Sus scrofa: one gene and its partner. The protein of the gene in region 2 purifies or fractionates together with the protein of the main gene of each other region. This does not show direct contact. Links are inferred from orthologs where the notes say so. Each region holds a gene or a part of one and is shown on either strand. Other genes may lie near its edges. The genes, in order: VDR and MED12.

Region 1 (9,806 bases), on a different chromosome or scaffold from region 2:
TGCAGTTAGCAGCTAATCAGTGGCTGCCGGGAGCCGGCTGCCAAGGCTTCAAGGCCGGTCTCTCGCTTCCTACCAGTGTGGCTTTAGGCACATTCTCTGCTCTGCTCAGTAAGGGTAATAGCGGTCCATCTCCTCTGGGGTCCTTACAAGGACAAGGCAGGCTGGTTTGCATAAAGCTTTTATTGACAGCAGTACCTGCCCAGAGTAAGCGCTATGGAAGTATGAGCCATTTTATTGCCATATGCAAAGCTCTCTTCACTGGTTTATTGGACAAATTTCCGGCACATGGTTTCTCTTTGAAAGTCACTCAGGAGGCACTCTTCAAAGCCATCCTGCCACCATATTTAATTCTGGCTTCCACCAGGTCTGCTGCACTTCCCCAGCTTCCCTGTTGGCCTCTTTTGGTTTTTCCTACCGCTTCCAGTCAGCCCGAGAAGGGTTTTCCTATCTCCTGGAATCTTGTTTAGGTAGTTGGCATTTTGGGGCACACTTTCCTGCTTTCCAATAATATACTTTCTTACTTATTGGCTGCACCCACGGCTCACAGAAGTTCCTGGGCTGAGGATTGAACTTGAGCCACAGCAGTAACTATAGCCACAGAAGTGACAAAGCTGCAGGATCCTTAACCCGCTGAGCCACCAGGTAACTCCTCCAATAATATACTTTAAAAGTTTGAGATTTATAAATATCTACCTTTGTGTTCTCTCGTTTTATTTTTTTTCTTTTTACGGCTGCATCCATGGCATATGGAAGCTTCTGGCCTGCAGGTTGAATCAGAGCTGTAGCTGCCAGCCTACACCACAGCCACAGCAACGTGGATTCGAGTGGCATCTGTGACCTACACCACAGCTCACGGCAAGGCCCGATCCTTAATCCACTAAGTGAGGTCAGGGGTCAAACCCGCATCCTCACGGATACTAGTCAGGTTCTTAACAGACTGAGCCACAATGGGAGCTCTCATTCTTTCATTTTAAAGCAAAAGAGGTGATAACATCTTTTCCCAATTTAGTCCCAGGAAACCTCACTTTTTCTCTTTTCTTTTCCTCTCAGCTCCTAGATTTTACTTAGGGACTGGACTGGACTGTTGTGTGCCCCAGAGCTGAGGCACTGGTGTTCAGTGTCCCGTGGGGTCCCCTGGGGAAGGCAGGGCCAGACGAGCTTTGGGAAGGCGGAGACGGTACAAAGACAAATGCACTTTATTGATGAGGCAACAGCATCATACAGGGCTGAGGCGGAGACCCCATCCAGCCAGGGCCACAGAGGGGCGGGGGTCCGATTCACATTGACACAGGCTGAGGTGTCCCTTCTCCTCCCCCTGATGGGTCAGTCAGTGGGGTGACAACCAAGGGAAGCAAGGCAGGGGTCTGGGATCTGGACTTGCTCTGTCGAAAGCCCAGGGCTTCCCCCAGGGAAAGGTCCTCCTCTAGGGAAGTGGGACATGGGGTCTGAGCTCAAGCGTGGTATAGCGAAACGAGCACTGAACCCTAAGTCCAAATTGGGGTGCAGCCCTGGGGCTGCTTCTAACTAGTTCCTTGAGCTTGGGTGAGTCACGCCCTCCTCTCAGCATCAGTTTTCTTTAACCAGGGGGTCGAACTGGGTTAGTGATTTTCCAGCTTTTTCTTCTGCTGACTAGCAGCCGGGCCAACAGGTTCGGCAGCTAAAATCAAATCCCACTTCTCCCTGCTTTGTAAACTAACAACAGCAATGATTAAGATATAGAATTTTCACCATGTTAAGTCCCTGGTCCCGTAAATCTCGCTTCACCTGTGGTCCCTACCACCGGCTAGATTAGCACGTGGTACCACAATGGAGCCTGATTCGGAAGACAACCCCCATCTAATCAGCATCAGACTGAGTCTTAGGACGGTGGCCGGCAGTAGGAACGTGGCTGCCAGATGGAGAAAGCACTGGCCAGGCGGGCCCTGGCGGCTGTCCCAGCGGTTGCAGTGGTAAGTCGTTGGCTCCTGGGGTCTGTAGTGAACAGCAGGTGCAGGGCCGGGGGCGGGGGGGGGGTGTCCTGCTGAGACAGAAACCTCCGTAGGAGCTGAAGAACCCTCTGTGATTCCTGGGAGAACCTTGTCTGCCCCCCTCCCACAGGCCTGCGGCTCACACCCCCGTGGAAGCCCAGAGGTCCCGGGGCCAGGAGTGCCCCCTCCTGAGTGCCTCTGGATGTGGGAAGGACCCACCTCTGACGTCACAGTGGTGCGATGGGAGCGGAAGGAACCAGCCCCACTCCCTCGGGCTGGACAGCAGACCAACCCGCTGTCTCTCACCCCCCCCTCCACCCCCACCCCGGGGGCCGGGGCACTGGCTCCTGCTTCTTGGGGGAACGGCGGTGTTGGAAGCAGGCAGTGGTGGGCAGGGAGGGCATGGCTTGGGCGCCGGGCCAGGTGGGAAAGACGAGGCCCTGCTGGTAGGCAGAGCGGCACTGCTTCCCCAGACTGTGGGGTGGGGTGGGGACAGTGGGCTGACCTCTGGGTCACCACCCTTGGCCATCCCAGGGTTAGGCCCCTTGGGTGCCCACGGCTGCTGTGTGAGGGGAGCCTGCAGCCGGTCTGGTCCTCTCTCAGGGAGCAGAGGTAAGGCACTGGCAGGGGAGGATGACAGAGTCCAGCGCTTCTCTGAAGCCTGGGTGCCCGTCAGTCTTGCCATGTGGGTTGTCAGAAGGAGAACTCCCGCCTTGGCTACCCCCTCAGATCCAGGCTGCAGAGCCACGGGCTCCACCACAGGACAGGTGAGGCCTCTGTCTACCACTCTTCCATGAGGCTGGATGTGCCTGCCTCCCCCAAATCCCCCCGCCTGGGCCCTGCTCTCTTCCCTCCTGGGCCTCTTGGCAGGTGGGTTCTGGGCCAGTGTCCCCAGCCGTGGGGAGGCAGCCTGTCTTACCACAGCTCCTTCCGGGGACAACGTTACCATAGGGATGAGAGGAAGGTGGGCACGGAGGGCTTAGGCATGTGCCCTTTGGGCAGCAGAGATGGATTTGTGACCTTCGTCACCCTGGTTTTGGTCATCCTTGGCAGTGAGTGTCCTGGACAGGCAGAGGGCCAAGGCCCCCTGGTGGCTCGCTGCCTGGGGACGGAACAGCGCAGACTGGCAGCAGGATGAGGTGGGGCTGTGGGTCAGTACGTGCCGTGGATGAGGCGGAAGAAGGAAGATCCCACCAGGCTCTGGACACGGGGGCCTGGAGTGGGGTGGAGGTACGGGTGTCTCTGTCCCTGAGGAAGGGGCTATTTCTCCTGCCTGCCTTTTCCCTCGGCATCACCAGCAGCCGCTTCTGGAGCAGCGGGGGCGTCCCCGGGTCCTCAGCCTCTGCCCTCTGCCCCCACTTGAGTTTCTCTGTCAAATAAACAGCAACTCCTCATAACGGAGGTCTCGTGGGAGTGGGAGCAGCCTGTGGCAGGAGAGAGGATGGGCCAGGCGGGGAGGGGAGGTGGCAGAGGAGGGGCTGAACTCCAGAGGGGGTGGGGAGGGCTGCTGGCCAGACGCCCACCCCAGGCCTGGGCGCAGGGCCCCAGAGAGGCAGCCCCGGCCGGGTGCCACCGCAGGCTGCCCTAGTCAGGAGATCTCGTTGCCAAACACCTCAAGCACAAGGGGTGTGAGCTTCATGCTGCACTCGGGCTGGAAGGAGAGGCAGCGGTACTGCTTGGAGTGCTCCTCGTTCAGGCTACGCAGGTCGGCCAGCTTCTGGATCATCTTGGCGTAGAGCAGGTGGCTGCCCGGGGGCGGGTGGCGGCAGCGGATGTAGGTCTGCAGCGTGTTGGACAGGCGGTCCTGGATGGCCTCGATCAGCGTGGGGTCCTGCACCCCGGGACGGTCTGTGGGCAGAGAGGGTGGGGTGGGGGTGGCACAGGAGATCTGAGCTGGGCCCCTCCCTGTTCGATCCACTCCCCTCATGCCTCAGCCCACATAGATGGACACCTAACCTCCGAATCCATCCATCACTCCTGATGGCTGCTGACCTGCGACACCAGAGTCCTCCCCAACATCTCAACCACTCTCTATTGCCTTTTTTTTTTTTTTTTTTAAATTTTTTTTGCTTTTTCAGGCCATGCCTGAAAGTTCCCAGGCTAGGGGTCAAATCAGAGCTGCAGCTGCTGGCCCGCACCACAGCCTCAGCAACACTGGTTCTACACCACAGCTCACGACAACGCTGGATCCTTAACCCACTGACCGAGGCCAAGGCTCACACCTGCATCCTCATGGACACTATGTCAGGTTCTTAACCCGCTGAGCCACAGTGGGAACTCCTAGGAACTGGCTGTACAATGGCGTGTGTTTGATGTCTCCTCCTACACTTGGTGGGAGAGGTCTGCGTCCTGTTTGCTGCTGAGTCTCTATGCCCAGCACAGTGCCTGGTACCTGACAGGAGCCCAGTAAATCACTGCCGAGGGAACAAATGAATGGATGAGTTGGGGAGGGCTCACTGGGCGGGAGGAGGGTGCCCAGGTCCTTCCCTCGGGCCCCAGCCCAGGAAAGCATCCCTGGATGGCAGCCACTAGTTTGTTCCCCAAACACAGTCCAGGGGGAGGCCTCACCAGTGTCTAGAGTCCCCGGGACCACAAGACCCTCCTCCTCAGCCTGTCTCCCTCTTTCCACCCCAAACAGGCAGAAGAGCTCAAGACTGACGGCATCCCGCCTCCAAAATCAGTCAGCTCAACTGTCCATCAGGCCAGATGTCCAGCCAGCAGAACATCTATTGGGCCCCAGGGTTTTGTGCCCTGACCTCAGGGGACCTCAAGGGTCAGGGAGGTCAGTCCAGTTCACACAGGCCTGTCTGTGGCCTGAGACACTCCATCTAGGAGTTCCCTTTGTGGTGCAGTGGAAATGAATCTGACGAGTAACCATGAGGTTGCGGGTTCGATCCCTGGTCTTGCTTAGGGGCTTAAGGATCCTGTGTTGCTGTGGCTGTGGTGTAGGCCGGCAGCTATAGCTCTGATTCGACCCCTAGCCTGGGAACCTCCATATGCTGAAGGTGTGGCCCTGAAAAGACAAAAGACACACACACACACACACATACACACACACACAGAAAAGAAAGAAAGAGAAAGAAAGAAAGAAAAAAAGAAACTCCATCTATCTGGCTCCTCAAAATCCCTCCCATGAACCAGCAATGGTTTCACTAGGGAAAGGCCAAGGCCAAGGGCAGTGAGGGAACCCTCAACATACACACACCACCCTGGCTGTGCAAACCCAGCAAAAGCCAGGTTTCCCTGTCGTTCTCTCCTTTTGCTCACTCCTCCCTCCAAACTTCCCGCTGGTCTTCAGTGGGGCTTCACCTGCACGCTCCCCACATCCCAGGTCCCACGTCCTCACTGCGAGTACCTGGGGAGACGATGCAGATGGCCATGAGCAGCACGTGCTCCTCCTCGTGCAGGTTCAGCTTCTTCAGCCCCACCTGGAACTTGATGAGGGGCTCGATCAGCTCCAGGCTGTGTCCGGCTGCGAGAGAGGATGGCCAGCTGCTGTGGGCACCCACAGGACGCCCCCCGCACCCCACATCCAGCCTGACATTGCTCCCTCGGATGTGCCTGGTGGGGCCCTGGACCCCAGGAGGGGTGGAGCTGGGGCAGGCGGAGGCAGAGCCCAGACGCACCTTTGGCCACGTCGCTGACTTGGTACTTGTAGTCCCGGCTGCCACAGGTCCAGGACATGTCGTCCATGGTGAAGGACTGGTTGGAGCGCAGCATGATGACCTCGATGGCACTTGACTTCAGCAGCACGATCTGGTCCTCAGCGGTGAGGTCCCTGCCAGGGAGGGGAGAGGTGGAGGTCAGGTTCCTTTACTGGGCAGCACCTTCTCTCTCTCTCTCTCCTTTTGGTTCTTTTTAGGGCTGCACCTGTGGCATATGGAAGTTCCCGGGCTAGGGGTCGGATGGGAGCTGCCGCTGCCAGCCCTCACCACTGCCACAGCAATGCCAGATCCTTAACCCACTGAGCGAGGCCAGGAATCGATCCTGCATCCTTATGGATTCTAGTCAGGTTCTTAACCCACTGAACCACAATGGGACGCCGAGACCTTCAAGTCATGTAAATTAGTGCAGTGTTTTGACAGGTATACACCTGCCAGGTGCCCAGCATGGGCCCAGCTCCTCCACTGAGGAGCTTGCAGCCTGGTTGGAAAGAAGAAGACTTGTTTCTTGAGGGAGAACAACTTGCGAACAACTCAAGACTGTGACCAAATGCCAGCTGGATCAGCTCAGCTACTCAGTGACTTTTTGGGGTGTCCCAGGTCTAAGCAGCCACAGCTCTTCTGGGGTTATGAAGAGAGAGCTTGAGGAAGCTCTCAGGGCCACGGCATGACTAAGGTGGTCTGCAAAACATGGTAGAGGAGTTCCCGTCGTGGCGCGGTGGTTAACGAATCCGACTAGGAACCATGAGGTTGTGGGTTCGATCCCTGCCCTTACTCAGTGGGCTAAGGATCTGGCGTTGCCGTGAGCTGTGGTGTAGGTTGCAGATGCGGCTCGGATCCCGCGTTGCTGTGGCTCTGGTGTAGGCCAGCGGCTACAGCTCCGATTCGACCCCTAGTCTGGGAACCTCCATGTGCTGTGGGAGCGGCCCAAAGAAATAGCAAAAAGACAAAAAACCACAAACAAACAAACAAAATAAACATGTTAGAGCCATCCCAGTGGCTCCCATGCTTTCTCTCCCTCTCTCTCCTGTCCTCTGGTCCTTCCCCCGAGTGACGCCCAGCATCTCTGGACCCCGTTCCCACTCCTCTGACTGCTCTGATTCAGAGCTCCCTCATGTCTTTCAGTTGCCTCTTACTAGAATCCTGGGGTCAAGTTTCTAGTGCACCTTTCTTACCGCTGCTACAGGAAAGTGTCACTCCTGTGCTCAGAAATCTGCACAGACTATCAAACGCCCCGGGCTCAAGCCCGTACTCCATAACTTGGTTCCAACCTGTCTTTCCAGACCCCCTTCCCATCGCAGGCTCCACCAACCCTCCCTTCTAAACTGTGGGACACTCCACATTCAGGTGATGCATTCTCACGCCACTGCCATGCCCTTGAACATGGGACGGCTCCCGCGTGGAGCACCTGTCTTCTTCTGCTCCACCTGGTCTTTCTGGTCCTGAATCTAGAAGGTCTCTCTTGGGTCCTCCACTCTCTGATTCTCTTCATCGAATGAGAGCCATTCCTTTATGACCTGCTGCACGTGGCTCGTACATTGCTGGTATTTTGCCCTTTCCCCTTCACCTCTGTCCTTTAGGTGCTTGTCTCTGAGCTACTTGAGGGTCAGCACCACCTCTTAATTACCTTAGTGTTGCCCTCACATTGAACGTTGAACCCTGAGCACTAGGAGAGTGTCAATAACTAGGTGTCGATGAGTCAAGAGGCTGATGACTAGTTCCATTATTCTGAGTCACGAGCTGGGCTTGTCTGAACCATGACAGGGAGAAAGCAGGGCCCACGGATTAAATCGCTTCCGGATTTTCCTCCCTTTCTGACTATATGTTTCCTCCTGGATATCCTGCGATGGGCTGTCAACTTCTGTGGCTGCACTTTGGAATATAAAAAAAGTGGGAAACGGAGTTAACAGATGTGGGCCCTGTATCAGCAAGTGATGGATGAGGAGGCGTGAAAAGGCTTGCCTGATTAGGATGGCCACCAAAGCGCAGTGAAGGAAAATCTCACAGTGCCAGCATTGGGAGGCCCCCCTTCAACGCTGTGTGGTCCAGTTCCTCCCTCAGCACTCCCAGCAGATGGTGCTCACACAGCCTGTGCAGGATCCCCCCAGGGCCAGGGATACAGCCACGCCGTGCTGTGGGTGAAGCGCCTCTTGGGCTTCTATTGAGCTCTAACCCACACGATGACACAGTCATCTTGCTCATAGTTCCATCCTCTCAAGGAACATAGAACTCCGACTTCTCCATCACTTATGGGACATTCCTCTCACCATTTAAAGAAAGACACTATTTCCTCTTGGCATCTTTCCTGGGATAAATAGCCCTGATGACGTCTTGCCATCCTTGCCACCTTTTTCTGGGCGCTCAGTCCACATTTTGTTTTTGTTTTTTTGGCCATGCCCGTGGCATGTGAAATTCCCAGGCCAGGGATCGAACCCATACCATAGCAGTGACCCAAGCTACTGCAGTGACAATGCTGGGTCCTTAACCCACTGCACCACAAGAGAACTCTTCAATCCACACTTGAAAAAGAAAAACTAACATCACCCTTCTTTGGGTTTTAATTCATTATACAGTAAAACATTCGATTATTAAATCTTTGCAGAAAATGAAAACAAATAAAAATTGCTCAAAACCATGATGAACATTCTGGTTTATTTTCTTCCTGTTTTTTATGCAAATCTCTCTCTCTCTCTTTTCCTTTTAGAGCTGCACAGGCAGCATAGGGAAGTTCCCAGGCTAGGGGGCGAATCAGAGCTACAGCTGCCAGCCTACACCGCAGCCACAGCAACGCCAGATCCGAGCCACACCTGCAACCAATACCACAGCTTGCGGCAGCTCTGGATCCTTAACCCCTGAGTGAGGCCAGGGATCGAACCCGCATCCTCTTTTTACTAGTTGGGTTGTTAATCCGCTGAACCCTAACGGGAACTCCGCAAATATCTCTTTCTTAACATGTAGGAGGTCACAGTGACCCTGTGTCTCACTTCCTACGTTAGTTCATGGTGGGTTGCATCACGTTATATCAACACACTCTATAAGTTATTTATCAATCTCCCAGTCACTTACTTTGGGGTATTTGGGCTGCTTTGAAGTTTTGCTATTATAAGTAATTCTGTGAGGAATATCTTTATACGTAACCTTTTGTTCAAGGGCCCCCTCAAAACGGATGGCCAGAAATGAACGAATATCCCATGCGTGTTTGGCCAGAGAGATTTCACTGGCTGCTGTGATCCAGACATACTCCTGCTATGAAAGCCAACCTAGAACAACCTCAAATTACTACCCATGGGCTGGAAATACAGGGAATTTCTACGAGCCAGCTCGAAGCCAGAACTGAGACTGGTGGTGGGTTGGGGGCAGAGGTGGAGCCAAAGGGGAATCCAGTCAGAGAAGTTTCCTGCTGTAATGGACACTGGCTCGGGCTCTGGGCCTCCTCCCTGGACCTCCTCATAGGTTTTCACCCCTGCCGCTGCTTCTGGGCACCTGCCACACGCTCTGGGAATGCGGGCTTGTCTCCCCTCCCCCATCCCAGGCAAGGCTTCCCCCCTCCCTCCATGGCCTGCATTCTGTCTGTGCCTCTAACAGGCGTCTCTCACTGCCCTAATCTTGTCACCACAGCCGCTCACAGGCCTCTCTCTTCCATCAGACGCTGACCCTCCGGAGGCCAGAGGCTGTCCGAGGCAGCTTTCTTCCCTCCCAGTTTATATAAGCAAGCTGATTGCTGGATCGATGAGCAAATAAATAGAGGAAAGGGCAGAGGCGGAGGGAAGCGCTATGACCCCAGGCCTTTGACAGAGGCAGGAGTCTCTGGGGATGGAAATGGCAGTGGGGTTGGAGGCCTTTAGCCCTCTGTGGTATCTCCTGCACCAGTCTGGGCAGTGAACACTGTGGTTCCATGCTCTGAGATCCACGACTGCTCCTGCACCACCTCCTCCCTGCATTTCTCTTGCGGGACTGAGGTGGGGAGGCTTGGGGGGCTGCCAGACTGAGAGGCCGAGGGGGAAGAGGTCGGAGGCAGGAGCAGGGCCAAGGCCACACCACAGGGCCGTTGACACCCAGCACAGCCCATCCAGTCCCACCCCACTTTGGTCCCATGCCCGCCCTGGAGCCTCATCCCACCCCGTACTCCCACCCCGCTCCCACTCTCCCACACAGAAGTCTCATCCTGCCCTCCCCA
Region 2 (10,436 bases):
TATGTGGACCTTAGAGGAATACGTACAGGGAGGTGCTAGGTTGAGGGAGGGAAGGGAGAGGGAGGGCGGGCAGTATGGGGCTTACTGTGAGGTACCTAAGAATGTCAGGTCTCCAGGATTCAGAGGCACAATAGGAGCAAGCTGGTCTGCAGAGGGGGGGAATGAGGGGGGAAGTTTCAAAAGGACTAGAGCTCTCAGGAGACTCCAAGAGACAGGACATCGGGACATGACTGGGAGTTCCCTATGCTGGGGAAGGGGAGACTGACTAGGGCACTCTTTGGGGGAGATCTGTTTAAGGCACCTCAAACCCACCAGTTTCCGCTGTCCCCTTGCGGTTCAGAACTTTCAGGATATCCTTGGTAATTTTCTTGATGGCATGGCGGGCATCATCTCGCTGCTTTCCCACCCCAAACAGTACGACCAACCGCTGGTTGCACTCATGGCTGCATGACTCCTCCTGCATCCCAGCGGCACCATCAGACTCCGGCACGAACTGCTCTCCCTCCTCTTAAAAAGCATGCTCCACGCCCCTCAGCATCCCAGTGCTCAAGCCCTGCCCAGCATACCACACCCTCAAGAACAGCTCCAACCCCATGGCACAGTCCTTGGACAGAAACCTGGGCTCAGAACAGAGGGTCACAAAGTGGTGGGGAACGGTACCTGGGGGATGGGAAAGTGCGTGGCATATTGCACATGCCGTGGCTGGTCATAAAGAACCCCAAGGGTCCCTTCTAGCTTCTCCTTGGGTGGGGGCTTCACCTCCTTCTCAACATCTGGTTTCTCAGGGGACGGACTGCCCTTCCCCTCACAGGGCATAGTAGGGGAGAACAACTACGAGAAAGGCGAAAGGGCAGAACGGTTAGAGGAAGACAAAACGGAAGAGGGGGCATAAAGAAACTCCCCAAAGTGGCACAGTGGGAGGTGTCTGGGAGCTGGATTCTTCCACACCAGGATATAACTTACTGAGAAATCAGGCTTCTCCATGTCCTCAAAGATCACACTGGAGTTATGGTCGATATCCATAGACTCTGAGAGCCCTGGATCCTGAGGGCAGAGAACAGAAGCAGAGTCGCATTAGCCCCAAGGAGCTGCTCCCCACCATCCAGAAAAGTCGACTCAGAAGTTGGAGACAGGACACCATACTGGGAAGAGCACAAGATCCACATCCAAGCCTTGACTGATCACTTAGCCCCCATAGGCCTTGGTTTCATTTAGCGTTATTTTACTTTTTTTATTTTATGATTTTTATTTTTTCCATTACAGTTGATTTACTCATTCAGCTTTAAAATGAGAATAACAGGAGTTCCCGTTGTAGCTCAGCAGTAACAAACCCAGCTAGTATCCATAAGGATGCAGGTTCGATCCCTGGCCTTGCTTGGTGGGTTAAGGATCCAGTGTTGCCATGAGCTGTGGTGTAGGTCACAGACGCAGCTTGGATCCCGTGGTGCTGTGGCTGTGGCCTAGGCCAGCAGCTGTAGCTCTGATTTGACCCCTAGCCTGGGAACCTCCGTATGCTTTGGGTGTGGCCCTAAAAAAAAAAAAGACAAAAAAATGATAACAATACCTCAACGAGGCAGTTGTGAGGATCAAATAATAATAATAATAATAATAAAATGATGTGAGAGTGCTTGGTAAATAAACTATGAAGCGCTAAGCAAATCCTACCCTCATCACTGGGTAAAGGATCCTCAGATTACTTCAGGAGCCAGGAAGAGGGGACTGTACAGGAAGAAACAATCTAGGGTGAGGAAAAGCCAGCTCACCTCCAGCTTGCTGCTGCTGCTGCCCTCAGCCTCCTTGCGCTCAGGGTCATCAGCAGGGTCATCAAAGGGAGAGGGAGGCCGGGGACCAGGGGCTCCAAAGGCAAGGTCCCCTCGGGAGATGAGGGTGCAAGTGTACATGTTGTGGGAGAAAACATCGTGTCGAATCAGTTCACAGAAGAGCAGTACCAAGTTAAAGAATTCCACCCGCTCACTCTCACTTCGGGGGTCCGCTGGAGGGAGGGAATGAGAAAAGATGAGTAAGGGAGCATGGAAGACATGGGCAGAAAGCGAGAGGGACACATCTAAGGTAAGATGCTCCTAGGGTACCTGAAATAGGCAGGAATAGGAATGACTCAAAACCCCCCAACGCCCCCCAAACTGTTGAGGGACAAAGTATGCTTGGTTATCCTACCTCCTGCCCCCCCATCTAATAAAGGAACACAGCATTTCTGCTATTTATACATGAAAACGCTCCGATCCTAAGCACTTGTTTTTATTCTACTCTTTATTTCTCTACTCTGTTAAACTGTAAGATGATCAAAGACTAGAATTATGTCCAAAGACATTCTGCATAGAGCTCAAGCTAAGATTATATCTCAGAAGGCCTTTCATTATGCTTTCTGATGACAGGGGTGGGTAAGGGAGTCTAGGCAGAGGTAACCAGAAAGTAGCAGGGGTCCATACTCAGCATGGGAGCCTGTGTGTCCAGAAACTGCAGGAGGACATCCTGGAAAATGGGAGCACTGGGTGCAGAAAGGGAGCCAGAGGCAATGGAACCCTTCTCATCTGCGGCTTCTGATTCTCCACAACGCTATAAAATGAGAGGACAAACCATAGGGCTGGGTTTTATCTGTTTCTTCACTCATCCACGTACAATCCTTGAACAACTGCCTATCTCCACGTCCCCCTGTTGACTCCCATTTTCTTTTCTTTCTTTGTTTTTAGTCTTTTTAGGGCTACACCTGTGGCATATGGAGGTTTCCAGGCTAGGCATCTAATCGGAGCTGTAGCCGCCAGCCCACACCACAGCCACAGCAACGCAGGATCCAAGCCGTGTCTGTGACCCACACCACAGCTCACGGCAACGCCAGATTCTTAACCCACTGAGTGAGGCCAGGGATGGAACCCAAGTCCTCATGGACACGAGTCGGGTGCCTTAGCACTGAGCCACGATGAGAACTCCTTGACTCCTATTTTCTTTAGCGCCTCCAACTGCAGCCTTGATCACTTCTCTAACTCTGACACTGATCCACTCATTTCTATTTTTGCCTCATGTCCTCCACTTTCCCTGTACGTTCTCTAACCACTTCTTACTCTCACACCTTCAACATTGGTCCCACTATCAGCTCAATCTGGCTCCAGGCCCAGCTGCCACTCCCTGCCGGGCCCCCTAACCTCAGCCTCGATCTCTGCCTGTCTCTTCTCCAGCAGCTTGGCTACCACCATAGCGCGATGCCGACCAGAACGCTTGCAGCTGACAGCCCATTCACACAGTAATGATACCACAGCATCATCATCTGAGGAGATCTGGAGACCAAAGGAAGACGGAGGTGAGTAAGGCAGAGTTGGGGACAAAAAACTGAGTTCCAATTTCCCAGCGATTGGGCCCCATCTTAAAACATTCTAGGCCCAGTAAGACCATCTGTCTCTTCAGACATCCTCTAGTTTTAGTGCCTCACCCCTCCTTCCCGTCAAATGTACTGGTGCTCTTGCTGTTTTTCCCTCCTCTTCCCCGTCTTGCTTATTACCTCGTGTCCATCCTTGCTGGGCCCCAATCCAAAAATTCGGTTACAGAGGGAGTCAAGAGAGTTGCTGAAGTCAGAGCGCTCAAAACTATGGCTGTCCAGCACTTCCAAAGTATGGAGCACCCGTCCAATGGTGAAGCCTAAAGAGGAAAAGCGGTAAAGGGGACTTAACCAGAGGCTTACTCTGACTCTCAGATCTATATGTCATTACCATCCCCACCCTTTCCTCAAACACCCTTCTTACTGCCTGTCCTCTGGCACCCACCTGCAGTAGCTTCCTGGCACTTATCAAAAGACCAGCGAACCTCAACGGCCTGTCCTCGCTCCTTGATCTGCTGCTCGATCTCCCGCAACTTTGCACGGACCTGCCAAAAGGAAGGTTTTAAGGATGGAGCAAAGCATACAAAAAGGCTAGGGCTCCAGGCTAAAAGCATAGTAGTAGGCTCCAAGTCACTAGTTCTGAAAGAGTAACTTCAGCCTCTATATCCAAACCTGCGGTAAGCAGGCTACTGGTCCAACTTACCTGCTGAGTGAAGGCACTGTTGCCCTCTGGCATGGGCAGGTTGGAGGGGGCAATAGGCAGGTGATCGAGTGGTGAGCCAGTCTTGATTCGGCTATCAGTCAGCGAGTAGTGCCAAACCAGGGCACTAGGACAACACAGGAGGATGGTCTGCCAGACAGGAACAGCTAAGTCAAACTCGGTTACCATGGCTACCTTTCCAGAAGCCCATCATAAGACCCAATGCTTCGATTTCCAATCCAAAGTTATTCTGAGTCCCTAGGGTGGCATCACTCCATCTCTGAGCCCCTCCCCTCATCCACTCTCCTCCAAAGGCTTTGGGCCTACTATGTAGACCTGGAAGGGAACTACCTGAAAAGGAACTATCGCCCCATGAATGAGCAGCCAACAATTTCCAAGCAAGTACTCAGTGCCTACTCTCACCTCCAATTTAGAATCCCCCTATTTTCCAGGACAGGCACCTAATTCTTCTCAAGAGGTCTCTTAATACTTCCATAGGCCCACCGAGTACCTACCTGAAGGATACAGCTGAGGCCAAAAACCAGGGGTCGGTGCTGAGGACACATAAGCAGGTCACTAAAGGGTGTAGAGGGTGTGCTGCTAGTTGGGGGCTGAGGAGCAGGGGTGGTGGGTAGTGTGCTTGTTGACTGAGCAGACATCACATGAGACGAGTGACTGCTCACACCATCCAGCTGCAGGGCCAGTCTCCGGGTACAGAAGTAGGCAAGGCGGCGGGAGAGGTATGCAGACTGAACAAATTCCCCGGAGTACTGTGAAGACATGACGATCAAAACCCCCCAGTTCTTTCCAAGAGACACTGCTCTCACGTCTTACTCCTCCTCACATCCTCCCTAGATGCTCCCCCACCCCTACCCCCTGGCCAAATCCTAGGCCTTACTCGAAGCAGCAGGGGCAGCAGCAGTTTAAGCAATTCATCCTCTCCAGGGCGGATTTTCTCAAAGCACTCAAGTACCCAGGTCAGGAACTCATGTCTGTCCAGCATTCCGTCCTGTGGGCACCAGGGGTGGGAAGAGGATTAGCTTTGCCTAGGGACTATTCAAGATGAGGCAGAGAAAGTAAATGAAAGGATGAAGAGAACCACACAAGTGGGGCAAGGTGGCAGGCCGATTCTGTTCTATGCTGGCAGAGTGTGAGATCAGGCTCAATCCCACGCCCTATAACAAGCTCTCCTTCCTACCTGAAACATGAACATGGCCAGCTTCTCGTTGTAGTCCCACTGCCAGATCGCCACCTCTACATCATGGGGCAAGGGCCCTACAGTGGGACCACAGCCCCCACTTCCGGCAGGCCCTGGCCGGTAGTATTCAGCCATCTTTTGCAGCTGCTCCCATAAGTACTTGGTGATGATCTGAGTCCACTCTAGGGGAAAGATGGGAAAACGGCTATTTTATACTGTCCCTCTGCTTAGAACATCTTGTCCCCTGCTCCCGTCCACAGTCACCATACTTCTAAATCCTATTCAGCCCCTTAGGCTCTAGTCAAATGCCACCTTCCTAAAGCCTTTCCAGGTGTCTCCAAAAGAAAGTAATCTTTCTGTTCACTGAGTCTCAAAGAAACCTTCTGCCTCCATTTTTTATGTTTATTTTATTAACTTACATATTTTTATTTATTAATTAATTTACATATTTTTAAAAATTTTGGCTGTGCTCGCAGCATGCAGACGTTTCCCGGCCAGGGATGGAACCTGTGCCATGGCAGTGACAATGCTGGATCCTTAACCTGCTGCACCACTAGGGAACTCCTTGCCTCCACTTTTGACATTATGTTCTATATTTAATCACGGGATCTGTACATATGCCTTGGCATCCCTACTAGACTCTAAGCATCCTAAAGGCAGGGATTAAGTAGTGGTTATCTTTATAGCCCAGTACATGCACGGAGAAGGTACTCAAGATACTCGATGTTTACTAATGGAGTGAATGCAAGATACAAGCAGAAGCAAGGAATATAGATGAGGAAGGAGAATAATCTCAAGGGTCTCTCTACCACTGCTTGAAGTGATCAGTGGTGGGACCCCTGGTGTTAGAGGACTTACTCACCCGTGAAGGGGTCAACGACATTTCTCTTCTTAACCTTGTTCTCCGAGATTGCTGCATAGTAGGCACAGGTCATCTTAATGAGCCAGGCTGCCCGCATCACAGGCACTGTGTATTTGGCTAAGTACCCAAACACTTCTTCCTTCTTACTGAAAATGGGGACCTGGACGGACATCACAAATAGTGAGACCTCCATTACCCCCATGAGCTGGCATTCATGTAGCTTAATCTGGGAATCGGAGGGTGCTTGGTACCCACACTCCACTCCCTGGCTTGAAGAACAAGAAATGGTATCTCACCTTTTTGGCTAGTTGTGTGAGTGGCTTGGTGCCAGCCAGGTCAGTGAACCAGGTGTTAATGGCACTCTGGGATCGTGCAGTCACCAGCCAGAAGTTGTCCTTCTGGTTCACTTGGGGCTTCCTGCGACCAGTGTCAGGGAGGGTGTTACAACGTAACTTCTCTGCAATAATGCTGCTGAAGTTGGAACTGATCTGAGGGAAGAAAACTACACCTCAGGGTGGGAAGAAGGGGTAGAGAGGTGGTTGTGCCTTTGATAGGCAAATGCCAATGTGGTAGCATGAGGTTATGAAGGAAAACTCAGCCATTTAGGTGGTCCCTTTAAGTCTTCCCAACCCAGGGCCTTTGCGCCTTCTCAAATTCTTCCAGCCTTTTCCTTCAGCTTGGCAGGGTTGTCTCACCTTGGCAGGATTGAAGTTGACGTTCTTGGCACTGCCATGTTCATCCCCAGAGACAGCGGGCTGGTTATTGAAACCTTGTTTTACATTCAAGGCTGTCAGTTCATCCTAAAGCGGGAAAACGACATGTTAGCCCCCGCCACGGGGGGGGGGGGGAAGGTTGGTGGTGGGAGAGGGCAGAAGAGAAGGGAACATGGGGAGGGGGGAAGGGAGGAGGAGGATTCGGAGTAGAACAGATTGTTATTTAAAGCTAGGCCCTAACATTCATTTGGACCCCACCCTCACCCCCACAGTCACTAAGATTCCCAATCCCCCAGAGCTCACTCAACAGCACTCTTCCCCTGCGAGCTTGGAAGCAGAGCAGCCGTTGCTCACCCAGCTGCCTCAGACAACTTTCTGAGGTGTGTGTGTGTAGAGGGGGGCGCCTCCAGCGTGGCCCCGATATCACTCCCAGCTGGCACCCAGGAACCACCCCCCACCCCCACCAGATCCTACTCTCCTACGCCAGCCCACTTTACTCTTCCCCCTTTCGGGACTTTCGCTCCCGGCGAACCGCCCCGCCCCCCCCCCCCCCCGCCAAGCTTTCAGTGCTTCCTCTTCTGCCGATCGCTGGCCCCCGGCCCCTGGGGAGCCCGGATTTTTGAACGTACCTCCTTCTGTTTGGGATCTTGAGGGTACACATCCGGAGGCCCCAGCCGCGGCCGCTTCAGGGGCCGGTGTTCGTAGCTCAAGATCCCGAAGGCCGCCATCTTGCCCAGCCCGTAGCGCCAGAGGCGCCAGCCGGGCCCGGCCGCTGGGGGAGGGGGAGAGGGAGCCGAAAAGGGGGGCAGCGGAGGCGAGGACGGCAGCCGAGAGACAACAAGGGGGCACGTTAGAAACTCTCGATCATTGCCGGAAACTACCGAGGTAAACCGAGGGACGCCGGGAACCGTCGGACAATACCGACCGCGGGGTAGGGGGGGGAACGGGGGCGGGGCCCACCCGGCGTGGGGCGGAGCTCGGCGCCGGGGGAGCTTTTTCTGCCCCGGCGGCCGCAGATCGACTTCACTCAGTCAAGATCTTTGCGACATTCGCTAACCCTGTGCTGGACTGGGGATGCGAACCCGCGAGGCGGGAGGCGGCCACCGCACCGAGCTCCGGTTAGAATTGCGTTCCCAGCACCTCCCTCCGTTCCCGGCCTAGAATAAATAAGTGCTTGATCGTCTGTGCGTTTGTTGGGAACTCTGCCTTTTCCAAACTGCTTCTTCATTTCTCAGGTTCCGCATCTGAAAAATGGGTGTACTAACAAACACTTCCTTCAAGGGACTGTTGTGAAGATTAGAAACGATGTATGCATAAGGAAACACATATTAACCCCCCCCCCCCCCACACACACACAAAGGTCGGCTCTAATCCCTCAAGGTCCCTATGGTCTAGCACTGAGGTTCTTAACCTCTTCTGATTCAAAGTCCCTTTAAAATGCGGTGGAAGCTACGGCCCTTCTTCCCAGAAAAAAAAAAAAAAAAAAAAAGCACGTAGAGATATACAAAACGTTAGACACTTTCCACGGAGATTCTTACACACACACCCCTCCACGAAGTTCATCCATATATACTCCGAAGATTCAGGAACTCCAGGTTAAGAACGCTTGCTCTATAGAAAGAGGCACCTATTAAGTATCAGATGCTTTTCAGACATTATCTCTTTTAATCCACAAAAGCCCCATGTGTTAGGGATTATTATTGTCTCCATTTTGTAGATGAGGAAGCTGATTCTCAAGGAGTGGGAGTTGGTTTATATAGCTACTGAATAACAGAGCTGAGACTAGGGTTTTTTTCCTTGACTCTTCTTTAAGTGGTATATCATATCATTGGCTATTCTATTTTTTTACCTGCTTTTTAATTTAATTTTATTTGCTTTTTGTAGGGCCGCACCTTCAGCATATGGAGGTTCCCAGACTAAGGGTCAAATCCGAGCTGCAGCTGCCTGCCACAGCCACAGCCACTGCAACAGGATCCTTAACCCACTAAGTGAGGCCCGGGATGGAACCCGAATCCTCATGGATACTAGTATGTCAGGTTTATAACCCACTAAGAACTCCCCCTGCTTTTTTAAATTGAAGTATATTTGGTGTACAATATTGCATAAGTTACGGGTGCACAGTATAGTGGTTCGTATTTTCTAAAGGTTATACTCCATTCATAATTATAAAATATTGGCTACATTCCTCATGTTATACAATATATCTTTTTAGCTCATTTTATACGTGATAGTTTGTATCTTATAGTCTCCTACACCTAAACTGTCCTTCCCCCTTCTCGCTTCTCCCAGTGTAACCCCTAGTTGGTTCTTTGTATCTGTGAATCTGCTTTTTTGTTACATTCACTAGTTTGTTGCATTTTTCAGGTTCCACATATGAGTGATATCATACTTTTTTTTTTTTTTTTTGTCTTTTCTAGGCCGCTTCCCGCGGCATATGGAGGTTCCCAGGCTAGGCGTTGAATCGGAGCTGTAGCCGCCGACCTACGCCAGAGCCACAGCAACGCGGGATCCGAGCCGCGTCCGCGACCTGCTCTACAGCTCACGGCAACGCTGGATCGTTAACCCACTGAGCAAGGGCAGGGATCGAACCCGCAACCTCATGGTTCCTAGTCGGATTCGTTAACCACTGTGCCACGATGGGAAATCCAGTGATATCATACTTTTCCTGACTTTTTTTTTTTTTTTTTTTTTTTTTTTTTTTTTTTTTAAGGGCCGCATCCCTGGAAGTTCCCAGGCTGGCGATCGAATGGAAGTTGCAGCTGTGCTACACCACAGCCACAGCCACACCAGATCTGAGCCACGTCTGCAACCTACGCCACAGCTCACAGCAATGCTGGATCCTTAACCCAGAGAGCGAGGCCAGGGATTGAACTGGCATCCTCATAGATACTAGCAGGGTTCATTAATTCCTGAGCCACAACGGGAACTCCTTGACTTGATATTCTTTTTATGATGGTATTGCCTTTTAGAGAAAAGAGGGTTATAATACAGGTTAACAAATAACAATAGATAAAAATTATAAAGCTAGCCAATAACCAATGAAAGTAACAGTAAGAAAATGTTATTGAATCACAATGGGAAGATAAATTAATTTTGACTGGGGAGAGAAAAACATATTGGAGGAGGTAACCCTGAGGAATTTTAACCCACAGAAAATTAGGGTGGATAGAATATAAGCACAGTGCCTGACATACATACATACACACACACACACACACACACACACACACATATATATGTATATATATATATATTTTTTTGTCTTTTTGCTTTTTCTAGGGCTGCTCCTGCGGCATATGGAGGTTCCCAGGCTAGGGGTCTAATCAGAGCTGTAGCCACCAGCCTACGCCAGAGCCACAGCAACGCGGGATCTGAGCCATGTCTGCGAACTAAACCACAGCTCACGGCAGACGCCGGATCCTTAACCCACTGAGCAAGGGCAGGGATCGAACCCACAACCTCATGGTTCCTAGTCGGATTCGTTAACCACTGCGCCACAACAGGAACTCCTTTTTTTGTTTTTGTTTTTGTTTTTTTGTCTTTTCCTGGCACATATTAAAGTCTCAATAAATGTTTACTAAATAAATTCTTTCTGTAAATAGTATCTCCAGTCAGCTCTCTGTTTGGGGGGTAAG

The links.
Region 1: the proteins of MED12 (region 2) and VDR purify together in Homo sapiens (affinity purification with mass spectrometry; 3 studies listed by BioGRID, with this or other methods). This does not show direct contact. The link is inferred for Sus scrofa from reciprocal best matches to the Homo sapiens genes MED12 and VDR.

What each region holds. Positions count from the first base shown.
Region 1 is NC_010447.5:78,204,635-78,214,440, forward strand, and holds the end of VDR (vitamin D3 receptor), read right to left. Parts: intron 5,746-9,806; coding exon 5,594-5,745; coding exon of another isoform or gene 5,440-5,593; coding exon 5,323-5,439; intron 3,816-5,322; coding exon 3,556-3,815; 3' UTR 2,606-3,555; downstream 1-2,605.
Region 2 is NC_010461.5:57,148,176-57,158,611, reverse strand, and holds the start of MED12 (mediator of RNA polymerase II transcription subunit 12), read right to left. Parts: upstream 7,729-10,436; 5' UTR 7,530-7,728; coding exon 7,431-7,529; exon of another isoform or gene 7,370-7,430; intron 6,889-7,369; coding exon 6,784-6,888; intron 6,577-6,783; coding exon 6,385-6,576; intron 6,249-6,384; coding exon 6,089-6,248; intron 5,409-6,088; coding exon 5,227-5,408; intron 5,038-5,226; coding exon 4,927-5,037; intron 4,799-4,926; coding exon 4,544-4,798; intron 4,179-4,543; coding exon 4,032-4,178; intron 3,874-4,031; coding exon 3,774-3,873; intron 3,649-3,773; coding exon 3,512-3,648; intron 3,291-3,511; coding exon 3,159-3,290; intron 2,575-3,158; coding exon 2,448-2,574; intron 1,994-2,447; coding exon 1,764-1,993; intron 1,045-1,763; coding exon 964-1,044; intron 832-963; coding exon 661-831; intron 458-660; coding exon 313-457; intron 147-312; coding exon 96-146; intron 1-95. UniProt on the Homo sapiens protein: Component of the Mediator complex, a coactivator involved in the regulated transcription of nearly all RNA polymerase II-dependent genes.